3 linked regions of the Saccharomyces cerevisiae S288C genome follow. The protein of the gene in region 3 interacts with the protein of the main gene of each other region in a pairwise test. Each region holds a gene or a part of one and is shown on either strand. Other genes may lie near its edges.

Evidence for each region. The genes of interacting proteins can lie anywhere in the genome.
Region 1: the proteins of HYM1 (region 3) and KIC1 interact in binary tests that used the Saccharomyces cerevisiae proteins (3 or more experiments, as listed by UniProt).
Region 2: the proteins of HYM1 (region 3) and SOG2 interact in binary tests that used the Saccharomyces cerevisiae proteins (3 or more experiments, as listed by UniProt).

Annotation. Positions count from the first base shown.
Region 1 is NC_001140.6:314,852-320,325, reverse strand, and holds KIC1 (putative serine/threonine protein kinase KIC1), read right to left. Parts: upstream 3,755-5,474; coding exon 512-3,754; downstream 1-511. Other genes in the region: BIG1 (Big1p), read left to right, coding at 4,358-4,467, 4,555-5,452. UniProt on the Saccharomyces cerevisiae protein: Protein kinase involved in morphogenesis and cell integrity.
Region 2 is NC_001147.6:997,942-1,002,647, reverse strand, and holds SOG2 (Sog2p), read left to right. Parts: upstream 1-1,819; coding exon 1,820-4,195; downstream 4,196-4,706. Other genes in the region: MSC6 (Msc6p), read left to right, coding at 1-1,501; TFIIH complex subunit TFB6, read right to left, coding at 4,404-4,706. UniProt on the Saccharomyces cerevisiae protein: Required for proper cell morphogenesis and cell separation after mitosis. Functions in the RAM (regulation of ACE2 activity and cellular morphogenesis) signaling network and is required for proper ACE2 localization and CBK1 kinase activity.
Region 3 is NC_001143.9:83,133-86,461, forward strand, and holds HYM1 (Hym1p), read left to right. Parts: upstream 1-1,571; coding exon 1,572-2,771; downstream 2,772-3,329. Other genes in the region: CNB1 (calcineurin regulatory subunit B), read left to right, coding at 1-418; ATP-binding cassette long-chain fatty acid transporter PXA2, read right to left, coding at 3,093-3,329.

The sequences.
Region 1 (5,474 bases), on a different chromosome or scaffold from region 3:
TCTTGAAAACGGTAAAGGATCAACGAATGTATTATTTTTTTTGGTTCTGCTGTATATGACCTTTTCGATTTCTTCTCCACTATATATGGCAATTCTGGGGTAACAAATACAACAATCAGCGTTACAAAAGGTATTTTGGAATGTTTACAGGATAATTATCTCTCTTACAGTGATGAGAATGCTAAAATTTCAAGTGGTAAACATTGGTTGAAACCTCCTTAGCGCTTTCTCAGGATTTGCGCTTCGCACGGTTTTTTCTTCTAGGCGCGTTTATAAGAAGAAAAAATAACGGAAAAAACAAATGGCGAGGTTTGGTAACTGCGCCATTTGCTTTCTTTGAACTAGAATAGCAATAAAGTCCGTAAAGCGCTAACCTTGCGCAGTCGAGTTCCATGTGGTGCTTAAAGGGACTTGTTAAGTTCTGTAGAAAATATATACTTTCACTTTTCTTACATCTTGCTTATTTTTCTTGAATATGTACATAAACAAAAGAATAAACTAGACGATGCTTTTAATGCTCATTATCCTTGATAGGCGTTGAAATAAGTTGTTCCTTTAAAGCGTGTTCAATGCAGGGCAAACCTTCTTCGAACATTTGTAAAAGATTTTCCAGTTCTTTCAGAACCTGGGGTTTCCTGTCTACCCGCCTCTGTTTTCCTGGCAGAAACGATTCTAAGTCCAAGAACATTTCCATTTGTAAACTCTGTGGAGGAGGACACATGCCAAAGCCTAAAGAATTAACCGAGTTTGCAGCTGTTGCGGCGGAACTCAGAATATGATTGAATTGTGTTCCGGATGGAATAGTCTGTTGTGAAATTGGTGCAGTCGTTGATGCCGCGGCAGAACTTGAAGTTGCGATAGTCGTAGAATTGGCTTTGATAGTAGTGTTTCCTGTATTAGCAGAAAGAGGAACACTGTTATTAGGGCCGCTGTTGTTGTTAGAGCCAACATTGTTGTTACCGATACCGGAAACATTGCCGGAAACAGATGAGCCAAGAATATTCAATGGGTGTTCCGAGGCAGAAGAGTTCTTCCTGTTAGAAATGCTTTGACTTCTCTTGATCTTGCCCCCAAAATCAATGTGTTTCTCACTAATTGGAGTCATTGAGACAGGGATGTTGGACGCACTGCTTGTGTTAAATCCAAATTGATTAATATTTTCGTTCGTGGATATGCCAGCGCTCCCCGGCATGCCATTGTTATTCTGTGAGGTTGCTGTATTTGGATCAAGAAGTTTATTTCTCACAACAGGTGTAGGTAGTGGCATTTGTAGTTTTAAGTTTGGGTTGTTGCGTTTAAAGTCACCATTGACCCTTGAGCCTTCCTTTTCGTTGGAAAAGTAGTTTGATGAGGTTAAATTATTGCTGCTATTACCACTAATAGTGTTAAGTGTAGAAGAACTAGGTATGCTGTTCAGAGGTTGCAAGAGAATGTCCTTGTTATCTTTGCTATTGGCCATTGGTTTCATCGTAGGAGGAGGCGCGAGGTTCGTGTGAGTAGAATTATGACCAATGTTTTGGGTTGGGGAACCGGCAGGCTTTCTATTGGGAGAAGTTCCAACTCCAAATAGTGGCCTTGAGGGTGAAGAAGCCTTATGAGTAGATAACTTTGTTACATTACCTGGATTGGTTATGCCCATTTGTGTGCTATTTGCAGTGTTACTACCGCTGCTTCCTCTTGAGTTCTCACTATCAGTGTTGTTGTTATAGTTATTACTGTTGTTCGGAGTGGAGCTGATTCCGGAATTAGAAGCAACTGCGGACCCCAATTTTTGATTTGTTATGGTGCTTGGGCAATGTTCTGGCCTATTGTTACTGACTGTCAACCGCCTGGGCACGTTTGAAGGTGATTTATATTGTATTGAGCTAGATGACGAAGGAGTGCCAGCCGTCACTGTAGATGACCTGGCCTTTGTGCTTGGTATTAAAACCGGATCTGCGCTCGCAGGCGTTGGTAGAGCACTATTCGGTAGTTCTTCAGGAATTTCTATTTCAATAGACGTTGGAGCAGTAGTTAATCCACTTGTTGGAGGGCCCTTTGACGTCTTGTTAAATTTTGTTTGGAGTAGCGGCAAAGCAGGTGTACTCTGGCTATAATAATTGTTCCCACTGGATAAAGGTGGAAGGTGTGGTCGCATTTTATTATTATTGATATTTCCGTTGACCTCGTTGGATATTGAGGGAATGAAATCATCTCGTGAACTATTACCAGCATTTAGAGATGAAATGGATTTGCTTATTTTAGGAGCTTCTGTATTGACATCATTTTCAGCAGTAATAATTTCATTGTCTTCAAAAAGTTCAAGTAATTGTTTTGGAGCCTTACTTTCCAGCCTCTTAGATGATGTCATTGGACCGGCCGTATGTGTTCCAGAGGTGTTTGTAGTTCCAGCTACCATTTTGGAAGGGTATTTTGAGTTCGTATAGTTATTTGTTACTGGTGCATTCAAAGTAGAATTTTGAGCTATTGTACCAGGATAGCCCTTTCCTATCGTTGTCCCTTGATAAACAAAGGGTCTAGTATTATGACTTGTAGGGTCAAAGTAATAAGAATCTTCGTCAGGGTATGCATAGTTGAACAGGTCATGTTGGGCAGTAGCCCACTCGTTGTTGTCCTCAGCCAAAGCATCGAGGTTGATATTATTTTCAATAATATAATCCGACGAACTCAATGAATCAAAATCCCATTTCATTTCCACATCGCCTTCGTTCACTCTCTTAATTTCATTATCATTTGATGCTATTGACTTTTGTGCTTCATCACCCCCGCCATTTTGTGATGGTTTTGGAGCTTCACTGGGTTTTGATGGCTCATTTTCCGGTATACTGCCCTCTATTTTATATTTGTTTTTATTCTTGTCCCTAAATAGTAGATATCGTGATATTAGTTCTTTCAAAATGGACGTTGGCGTCGCCTTGTGGGCCCTGATAAATTTTGATTTTAAAAGATCGTCTGCTGACAATCTCTCCTTTGGATCCTCATCAAGACAAAGCGCAATAAATTCTTTCAAAGATGTACTGTATGATCTGTCCTCAAGCCTCGGTGGTTTCGATTTGATGATTAGTTGCATTGCCCTTAGGGCCTCCACATCGCAGTATGGCGGATTTCCGGTGGCAATCTCGTACGTTGTAATACCTAAAGACCATATATCTACTTTAGTGTCGTAATAAACGCCTTCCATGATCACTTCTGGAGCCATCCAGTAGGGGGTCCCAGCCATAGTTTGACGTCGTAAAGAAGTTTGGTTTACTTGTGCAGCGACACCAAAATCGCATAGTTTAACATTACCTTCGTTAGTGATCAGAACGTTTGCTGCTTTGATATCTCGATGAATGACGTTATCTTTATGAATGCATTTTAATGCTACAAGCAGTTCTCTCATAATAACCCCAATGTACTTTTCATCGATTTTGCCTGGCCTTAACAACGAACGCAGTGAACCACCAGCGCAGTGTTCCATTATGATCCAAAGGCTTGTGTCTTTCAAATACGACCCATAATACCGCGTGATATTGGAAATCTGTTTCAAGGAGGCCAAAAACTGAATTTCTCGCTGCACATCCTCCACCTCGTCAGAATCAGAATCTAAATTTAAGACTTTGATAGCATACACTCGTCCAGTCTTCACGTTATAGCCCTTATAAACCACACCAAATTTCCCTCGCCCAATAACTTCCGTTCTCTTGAAAAGTGAACTCACATCCATCTCTCCTTCGGCTAAACCCTGCTTACTATTTTGTGGCTTCGTCGTCATTACTGCCTGTTCTCTATACGTGTTTTGCTTGCCAGTCGATGGCGCCCAAATTTATACTTTTTGTTTCTTTATCTGTGTACTGTTAAAAGTAGTACTGTTAAAAGTAGTAAGCTCCTTAGAAAGCGGTTCCGCCTAATAGTTCCTAACTTGTTGTATGTGGCTTCACGTAGGACGAGTTGCCTCTGTTCTTCTTTGACTTTTGCCACGTCGGCAAGCTGCTGCTCTTGTTGATGCCTTTAAAGATTGTCAGATCGGCCTGAGATCGACGTGTGGCATGATAATGTTGCTCGATGGGCTGTAAATAGATAAGAAAGAGTGAAACGAATAGAGTAACGAGGCCACAGATGTGGCGAAACCTGGGAGGATATGTTCTAACGTTATCTAGAGTTCTGATAGAGCATTGTATGCGATAGTACCGCTGACATATGTGCATTCTTTAATTATATCGATGATATCATGCAACACGGGTTAGCTCTGTAGTAATGTAAACCTCTCTTAACTACGGCCAAGAATATCAGCAGCGGAGGTTAAGTTGCAGGTTATACCTATCTGTTTTGTAGTTAGGAAACGTAGGCGCATACTAATTAGGAGTAGCAAGGCAAGATGCAAACTGTGTTGAAATATTTGTTGCTTATTATGTGTGGAAGCTTTTGTGCTTCGGAGGAATTGCAAAACCAGACCAATGTTCCTGCAATATTCTTCTCTTACAAACTGTATGTAGAACAAGAAACATTAATCTTTAGTAACTTTCATTTTTCTTACTAACTAGATGTTATACACATATTTGTACTTTTGGATAGAACTCCCGGTATTTTAAAGTATCAAGAGGATTATGATAGGGCTGTGACTTTACCAAGAGACACCTTTATTGAAGCGGCTGAGAAATTCTTAGGTGTATGTAATGCTGACACTTATGTGTTTATTAATCAACCAGGCCTGAGGAAATTGGACTTCTTGGAATTTGAAACAGAGTTTGTTTCGTTACAGAGATATATAAGACGGAGTTCAACCGCGATTAAGTTCGAAAAGGTAGACCTATTGCCTCAAGATTTATACTATGATCTTGCAGAGTTTGTAAAGGAGTATTGTAACGTAGACCAGGTGTTGAACTTACGAGGTAATAATACAGAAGATTTCCAGCCCTTTATTGATAGCGAAAAAAGAGTGATTATAATAGAGTACCCTAAGTTACCAGAGGACACTAATGAACGTAAAGAAGCATTCCGCCATTATGACAAGTATTTGAGGACTATACTGGCGCAGATTCCGTCGCCAGAACAAAATGTCATTTACACCTCGTTAAACCCAGGAACTACGCTGGCTCACGAGTCGATCATCCCTATCCAAATATTTCCAGATATCTTTGACATAAAATCCAGAGTGGGTGAAGTGGAACAAAATAATAGAGTTTTGGATGTGCCTCGTCTGTCGTTTAATGACTATACTCCACGATTTTCAGAGCCACCTTCGGAGTATGTCTCAATATTTGATTCACAATTAATTGAGAATAACAGAGGTTTATTACAGCTGATTTTCACAATTTTGGTTGGGTATATTCTTATTCAGTTTTTTTTCACAAAAAAAACTATTGTAGATGAGAAGATTACTAATAAAAAGGACAACGTGAAACAGACGTCACCACAACTGCTCAAAAAAGTGCAAGAGATCCAGAAAAAGCCATCCCAGCAAGTATCTTGATTATGGTTCGTTATATACATCG
Region 2 (4,706 bases), on a different chromosome or scaffold from region 3:
AATTACCACCATTGCTTACTTATCTTTACCAGAGAATACTGTGGATATCAATATTCTGTATAAGATTTTACAGATCGATCGTAAAATGGGCCAGGTTTTACCTTTTAACATGATTAGAAGAATGTTAAGTACAGAATTTAGCTCTCTTGAAAGAAGAGACGTGATTATCAAAAATCTAAACACTTTGTACTATCAATACACAGTACAGGATAGTGATCATTTCTTAAGTCAAATTGAAAATGCTCCTAGATGGATAGATTTAAGGGATCTTTATGGCCAATACAATAAACTTGAAGGTGAGAAAAATGTAGAGATCATAAGCAAGTTCATGGACAAGTTTATTGATTTGGATAAACCCGACCAAGTTGTTACTATTTATAACCAGTATAGCAAGGTTTTCCCAAATAGTACGTCGCTGAAAGATTGTCTTTTAAGAGCTGTGTCGCACTTACGAGCTAAATCGAGTAAAGAGAAGTTGGACAGAATTCTAGCAGTCTGGAACAGTGTTATCAAACCAGGAGATAATATTAAAAACACATCTTATGCGACGCTAGTTAACGCACTAACTGATTCTGGAAATTTCAACCATTTAAAGGAATTTTGGGAAGAAGAACTTCCTAAAAAGTTCAAGAAAGATCCCATCGTGAAGGAAGCATTTCTCCTGGCCTTATGTCAAACTTCGCCTCTAAAGTATGACCAAGTCAAAGGGGAGTTAGCAGAGACTGTTAAAACCAAGAAGTTGTTCAATAAAGTTTTATTGCTAATGTTAGATGATGAAAAAGTGAGCGAAGAACAATTCAACACATTTTACTATAACCATTATCCATCAGATGGTGTGTTACCCCCTACTTTGGATACTCTAAGCATTAAAATGTACGCTAATTATAAATTTCAGGCAGAAGATACACGCCCACAATTCGATCTATTGCAAAGTGTTTCCATTAATCCCACCGATTATGAAAAGGTTGAAAAGATTACGAAAGCCTTTATTTCAGTGTGCCCCACTGTCGAGCCGATTCGTCAACTTTACAAACAATTGGGAACTCACTTAAATGCTAGGAATTATGCAGACTTTATTTCCGCAGAGTTTAATAAGCCTGACGGCACAGTGGCCGAGGCAAAGAATTTGTTTTCTGATTTTCTCTCATATCAAAAGACTAGAAAGAGAAACGTGGATAATACGCCTCTAAATGCTTTATTATTGGGGTTCTGTGATAAACTTTACAAGAGTAAACATAGCGAGTACGTTCCCTACATCGAAAAGTACTACAATCTAGCTAAGGATTCAAGTATCAGGGTGTCGAACTTGGCCGTTTCGAAAATTCTATTCAACTTGGCCACATTTGCACGCAATACTCAGCAGTTATCTGACAAAGAGGTTGCTTTTATTAACCAGTTTATGCGAGATTTAGGCACTAATGAGGGTTTTCGTCCCAACCCTAAGGATATTCAAATTTTAAAAGAATGTGATGGAATTACTGTTCCAGAAAAGTTGACTTAATACACTTGTCATAAGAAGACAATAAGAAAAGCTCAGAACCAATTTTCTGCACATATGATGCTGTAACTATATAATGATTTCTTGTATATAACTTCCGTATAATAGTTATTGCTTCCATGCATGATTCTTTCAAAGAACAATACAAAATAAAAATAAAAAAAAAAAAAAAAAATGAAAAAATGAAGCTACAAGTCGGGTAACAAAAAGTATTTCAAGATCTCTAAATATAAGTGGGCAAATAAAGTTAATGCCAAAACTCCATGCTACTTTTCACCTGAACTTATTGGGGGGAGTTAAGTCTATAAGTATCCGTAACGTATGGTAGCGACATCTTCAAAGAGGACGTTGGATCCGAAGGAGGAACATTTGCCTGCTGACAAAACATCCACTAATTCAAGCAACACTATAATATCTGAGTTGGCAACACAAGAGAAATCCAGCTCTAGTGGTACTACACTAAAATTAATAGCTCTTAATATCAAGTCCATATCAGATGAAGATGTGGGATATATCCAAAATGTTGAAAGACTGTCTTTAAGGAAAAATCACTTAACATCCTTACCAGCGAGTTTCAAGAGGTTATCAAGGCTGCAATATCTGGATTTGCATAATAACAATTTTAAAGAAATCCCATATATTTTGACACAATGCCCTCAATTAGAGATCTTGGATCTGTCCTCCAATGAGATTGAAGCATTGCCAGATGAAATATCATCGTTTTGGCAAGATAATATTCGTGTATTATCATTGAAAGACAACAACGTTACTAGCATACGTAATTTGAAATCGATCACAAAATTAAACAAGCTGAGCATCTTGGATTTAGAGGATAATAAAATACCCAAAGAAGAGCTTGACCAAGTACAGAGTTATACTCCATTTCATACGGGCATCCCCAAAGAAGAATATTGGGCAATTGCGATATCACGATATCTAAAAGATCATCCTAACCTACCTACTCCAGAACCTAAAATATCTAGAGCAGCGAAAAGAATGGGATTCATAAATACGAACTTGTCTAATGGAGCAATGAATGAAAACAATATAATTTCACTTGCCCCAAGTGCAAATACAACTATAAGTGCATCTACTGCAATGGTCTCATCTAATCAAACCTCTGCAACATCTTTCAGTGGTACAGTCAATGCAGAATCAGAACAAAGTGGGGCAGTGAATGGTACGGAACTATACAATCACACCAAATATAATGACTACTTCAAGAGGTTGTCGATTTTACCAGAAGAGTCAATGAGTAACGGGCATCAAAAAATATCGCATGCAGAGTTGGTTGTTTCCTGTCGGAAGCTCCTATTTAGTTTTACAGAATGCCAACAAGCTATCAGAAAAATCGCCTCTTTCTGTAAAGAGAAGGCCGTAGCGGTTAATGTAGTATCATTATTATACTCTGTCAGATCACATACTGATAATCTGGTGGAGGTCTTGCAGCAAACAGAGAACGAAGACGAATCGCATGATCAGGCGTTAATCAAGCTGTGCCTCACTATCATCACAAATTTTAAACAAATTATAACATTGTTGAGAAAAAATTTTGAGATTTTTTTCAAAGAAGACGATCTATGCTTCATAAGGATGTTTTATATGACATTAATGTGTGCTTATATGGAAATGTATAATGCATGGTCTTTTATCAAAGAAGATGATCAAGTGTCCGGTTCTGCAAGTAAGGCACCCAAGAAACATTCTTTTTCGAGGCACGAGACATCGTCCAGTAGTATCACAAGCGGTGGAGGACCCGCAGCAAGTACGACCAGTACACATTGTAGCGGAAACATAAAATTACTGCCGAAAACAAGGAGCACAAGAACACCATCTGCATCTGCATTGCTTTCAAATAGTAATATTCTGACGGGTGATACCACTGCTGTTCCTCTTTTATCACCAAATCTAAATGGTGCACACACCCATGGTCCAATTTTGGGACACCAAAATGCAATAAGCAATGGAAGTTCTCAAACGAACATGAATGAAGTAAAAACTACTAGCGATACTATTCCAAGGCAACAGCTGCTTCAGCACAATAAATCCATCAGCGATTCGAAAAAAGAGTCACAGGCGCATGAACCTAAACAGCATCCGGTTATGACTTCTTCAATAATTAACGCATCAAATAGTAATAACGTCTCGAATGTTAATATAACCCCACCACCGATGAATGGTGGTGGTGCCGCGAACAGTAGTGCTAATGTAGTGGAGACAAATATTGACATTCAACTGTATCAAACGTTGTCCACAGTAGTTAAAATGGTGAGCGTTGTATATAACCAGTTAACTTCAGAGATATCCAAGATAGCCATTGCTAGCACCATGGGAAAGCAAATTTTGACGGACTCGCTAGCACCTAAAATTCGTGATTTGACGGAAACATGTCGTCAAGCGATGGATTTATCCAAACAATTGAATGAAAGGTTAAATGTATTAATACCGAACGATTCAAATTCAGAGAAGTATCTGACATCTTTGGAGAAGCTGAAAACGTGGGAGATAATGAATTCGTTCTTAAAAGTAATAATATCAATTCTGGCTAATACTAAAATCGTAATGAGCGACGTGCCTAATTTGAATGAGCTGAGACCTAACCTAGCCAACTTGGCGAAGATTACCAAGGATGTCACTGTGATATTGGACTTGAGTTCATACAAGGCTGTATCAGTAAGCGCCAACTCTCCGGAGTAATATAAAAACTTGCATTGTGAGAAAACGCGAACTTTAGAATACGTAATGGGAGGATCATATACCCCATGGTACTGAAATGTATGCTTTATATATATATATATATATATTTATATATTTATGCATGAAAAATGAGGAGTTCGGAAACAGAAGTTTTAAAAGTTACAGATTTATTGTATAAAAGATACACGCCACTGGTTGAATGTAAATGTTAAAATGAATTGGCATGGTCTAAAAATCCCTCGTAAATCTTGCTTAATTCATAATGGTAACCATGGATACCCTGGGATTCCAAAAATATGGGTAGGCGAACTCTTGTTCGTTCCGCGATACCTTTTAACCTCACAATATCAGTCCCATTCAATCCTGCTATGTTCTTGCTGGCTGAAGACGTTTTAGGGACTTCTTTGCAATTATCATTATCATCAGTTAGAATTACAAATATCCTGTCAAGGATGAAGAAGAGTTTGAATAATTTGGATAAAGTGTCATTAATCTCTGAGTCTTCCATATT
Region 3 (3,329 bases):
CTCAGGGTCTATTGATAAAAATGAATTTATGAGCATTCCTGGCGTTTCGTCAAACCCTCTTGCTGGACGTATAATGGAGGTTTTCGATGCTGATAATAGTGGGGACGTGGATTTTCAAGAGTTCATCACAGGATTATCCATTTTCAGTGGGCGTGGGTCCAAGGACGAAAAGTTAAGATTCGCCTTCAAAATCTACGACATTGACAAGGACGGTTTCATATCCAATGGTGAGTTGTTCATCGTGTTGAAGATTATGGTAGGTTCTAATCTGGACGATGAACAGCTGCAACAGATAGTAGATAGGACGATAGTGGAAAACGATAGCGACGGCGACGGACGTTTAAGTTTCGAGGAGTTTAAGAATGCTATCGAAACCACAGAAGTGGCCAAGAGTCTGACATTGCAATACGATGTGTAAGACTAGGGGACACTTCATTCATTTATGGTATGCCAATATTTTTAAGAAAAGAAGAATAATACGCGATATTGTTTTTTAAGGAAGGAACGCACACTCGCCCAGTTAGAGTGCTGATGATATATACATATATATATGTATATGTAACAAACAATAAGAAAGCAATGATACAACATAGAGATGAGAGAGAGCATATATGTCAGCGACGAGATATACCAAGATGGAAGCTGATCTCATGTAATAACTGCGGGGTGTACTTTGATAATTTTTGGGATTCCATTGTTATTAATAGCTTTGATATCAGACATACAGAATACCAGAGATTTTCCTCAAAAATATGGCAATGCACAAAGGGGGATCAATAGTTATATAAATTAAGATTATTACTTCTTCTTTGTTTTATGTGTTGTTATTCACTATCCCACTGCATTATCAATCCTTACATATCAGCTTCCGTTAAACCCGATGACTATCTCTCAATCATCATACTATCTTCTTACACCGTATATGATAATTACCAGCAATACTAATGCTAGGAGACAGACCATCTTTGATTCCTATTCCAATAAAGTTAAACTGTGATATTGGTTTATTGGATAAGTTCATATCCTAAAACGTGTTGACAACACTTCGGGAGTTTCCAGTAAGTAAAATTTGTATGGAGGGTTGGCCGAGTGGTCTAAGGCGGCAGACTTAAGATCTGTTGGACGGTTGTCCGCGCGAGTTCGAACCTCGCATCCTTCAGTAATTTTTTTTTTTAATTTATTTTTGTGTTGCAAGCGTTGATCCTTTCCATTATGCAGCCATAAGAGGAGGCTGGATATGAATTATTTATTACCAATATAAGGAGCATGTACCGTTGATTTTGAAGAGCCAATTGCTCCAAATTTTGGATTTTGTGTTCGAAAAAGGGAAGATTGCTCCAAACGCAAATAAGGAGGAAACCCGCTGATTGCACTCTTGGAAAAATAAAAATAAAAAGTGGTCTCAGAATTGTTTCAAAAGTGGCACTGACACAATATTTACAGGCGTTGATAGCTTCTTGTTTTAACAATACGATTTAATCTCGGAGTAGTTAAGCCAAAGAATACGTGTTATCCGTAAGAGGCTTATTGCACGTAATCCCCAGTATAAATTATCCGCAAATCGAAGACAAATGTTTAAGAAATACAAAAATCAAGACTTGGACATGGCATTTTGGTGGAAGAAAAACCCCAAGACCCCTTCCGATTATGCCAGGTTGATCATCGAACAACTAAATAAATTCAGCTCACCCTCGCTGACTCAGGATAACAAACGAAAGGTACAAGAAGAGTGCACAAAATATCTAATTGGCACTAAACATTTTATTGTCGGTGATACGGATCCTCACCCAACTCCGGAAGCCATTGACGAGCTTTATACTGCCATGCATCGTGCCGACGTGTTCTATGAACTGCTACTTCATTTTGTGGATTTGGAATTCGAAGCAAGGAGAGAATGCATGCTTATATTCTCTATATGCCTTGGATACTCTAAGGATAATAAATTCGTCACAGTAGATTATTTAGTCTCGCAACCAAAGACCATATCTTTAATGTTGAGGACTGCGGAAGTTGCTCTACAACAAAAGGGTTGCCAAGATATCTTTTTAACGGTAGGGAATATGATTATTGAATGTATCAAATACGAACAACTTTGTAGGATTATATTAAAGGACCCTCAACTATGGAAATTCTTTGAGTTTGCGAAACTGGGTAATTTCGAAATCAGTACGGAATCTTTACAAATATTAAGTGCCGCATTTACTGCACATCCTAAATTAGTGTCTAAGGAATTCTTCAGTAATGAGATTAATATCATAAGATTCATTAAATGTATTAACAAGTTAATGGCTCATGGAAGCTACGTAACGAAAAGGCAGAGCACTAAACTGTTGGCCTCATTAATTGTGATAAGATCTAACAACGCGTTGATGAATATATATATCAACTCCCCAGAAAACTTAAAGCTCATAATGACTTTAATGACTGACAAATCTAAAAACTTACAACTTGAAGCTTTCAACGTATTCAAGGTGATGGTAGCAAACCCAAGGAAGTCAAAACCTGTTTTTGACATTCTTGTTAAAAACAGAGATAAACTATTGACGTATTTTAAAACTTTCGGTTTAGATTCTCAGGATTCTACTTTTCTTGATGAAAGAGAATTCATCGTTCAAGAAATTGATTCCTTGCCGCGTATAATTTCGTCCACAACAGAAGTTTCTAATAATAATGCATCCTCAAGTAACGTCGCCAGTATAACTTCTCCATCATCAGTAATGAACAATCAATCATCCATCTTAACACATTCAACTTCACCTGATTCAAGATAACTATAAAACTTGGTTCACTTTATAAAAAATGGAAAGTTCTCAGGCAGTGGGTCGTGACATGAATATTCAAAAGTAAAATTATATATAGGAAAGTGTTTATTTGCATAAAAAGGGAAAAATAGTTCAGACTTTTGTATTTTTACGTATTTATACAAAAAAAGGTTGGTACCGGAGGCTGAGGAAGCCAGTACAGTTGGATCCGGTACATGGAATTGAGCAATCAACCGTAAATATGAGCGCTTTCTCAAGATATTAAATTATTATAAAACAATTTATTTATCCAATTTATACATGATTTGGATCCTCCTTTGGCTATGTATGTTACCTCTCCTTTCCTTCTTCCTTTTTTGTTTTAACTTTTTTGTTCAAGCTTTTATTGTTTCTTAGTAAATTTGATGATGCTGAACTAGATGGTTGGGAAAATAGTGGTAATCTCTTACTAGTCTCCTGCCCTGTAGGTGATGTGATTCGCTGCCCTTTATTTGCATTAAACAATGCATTAGATTTGGACGTTTTTGGATCTTCGATCTTTTCAAAAAGATTCAGGTTAGTTTCTGA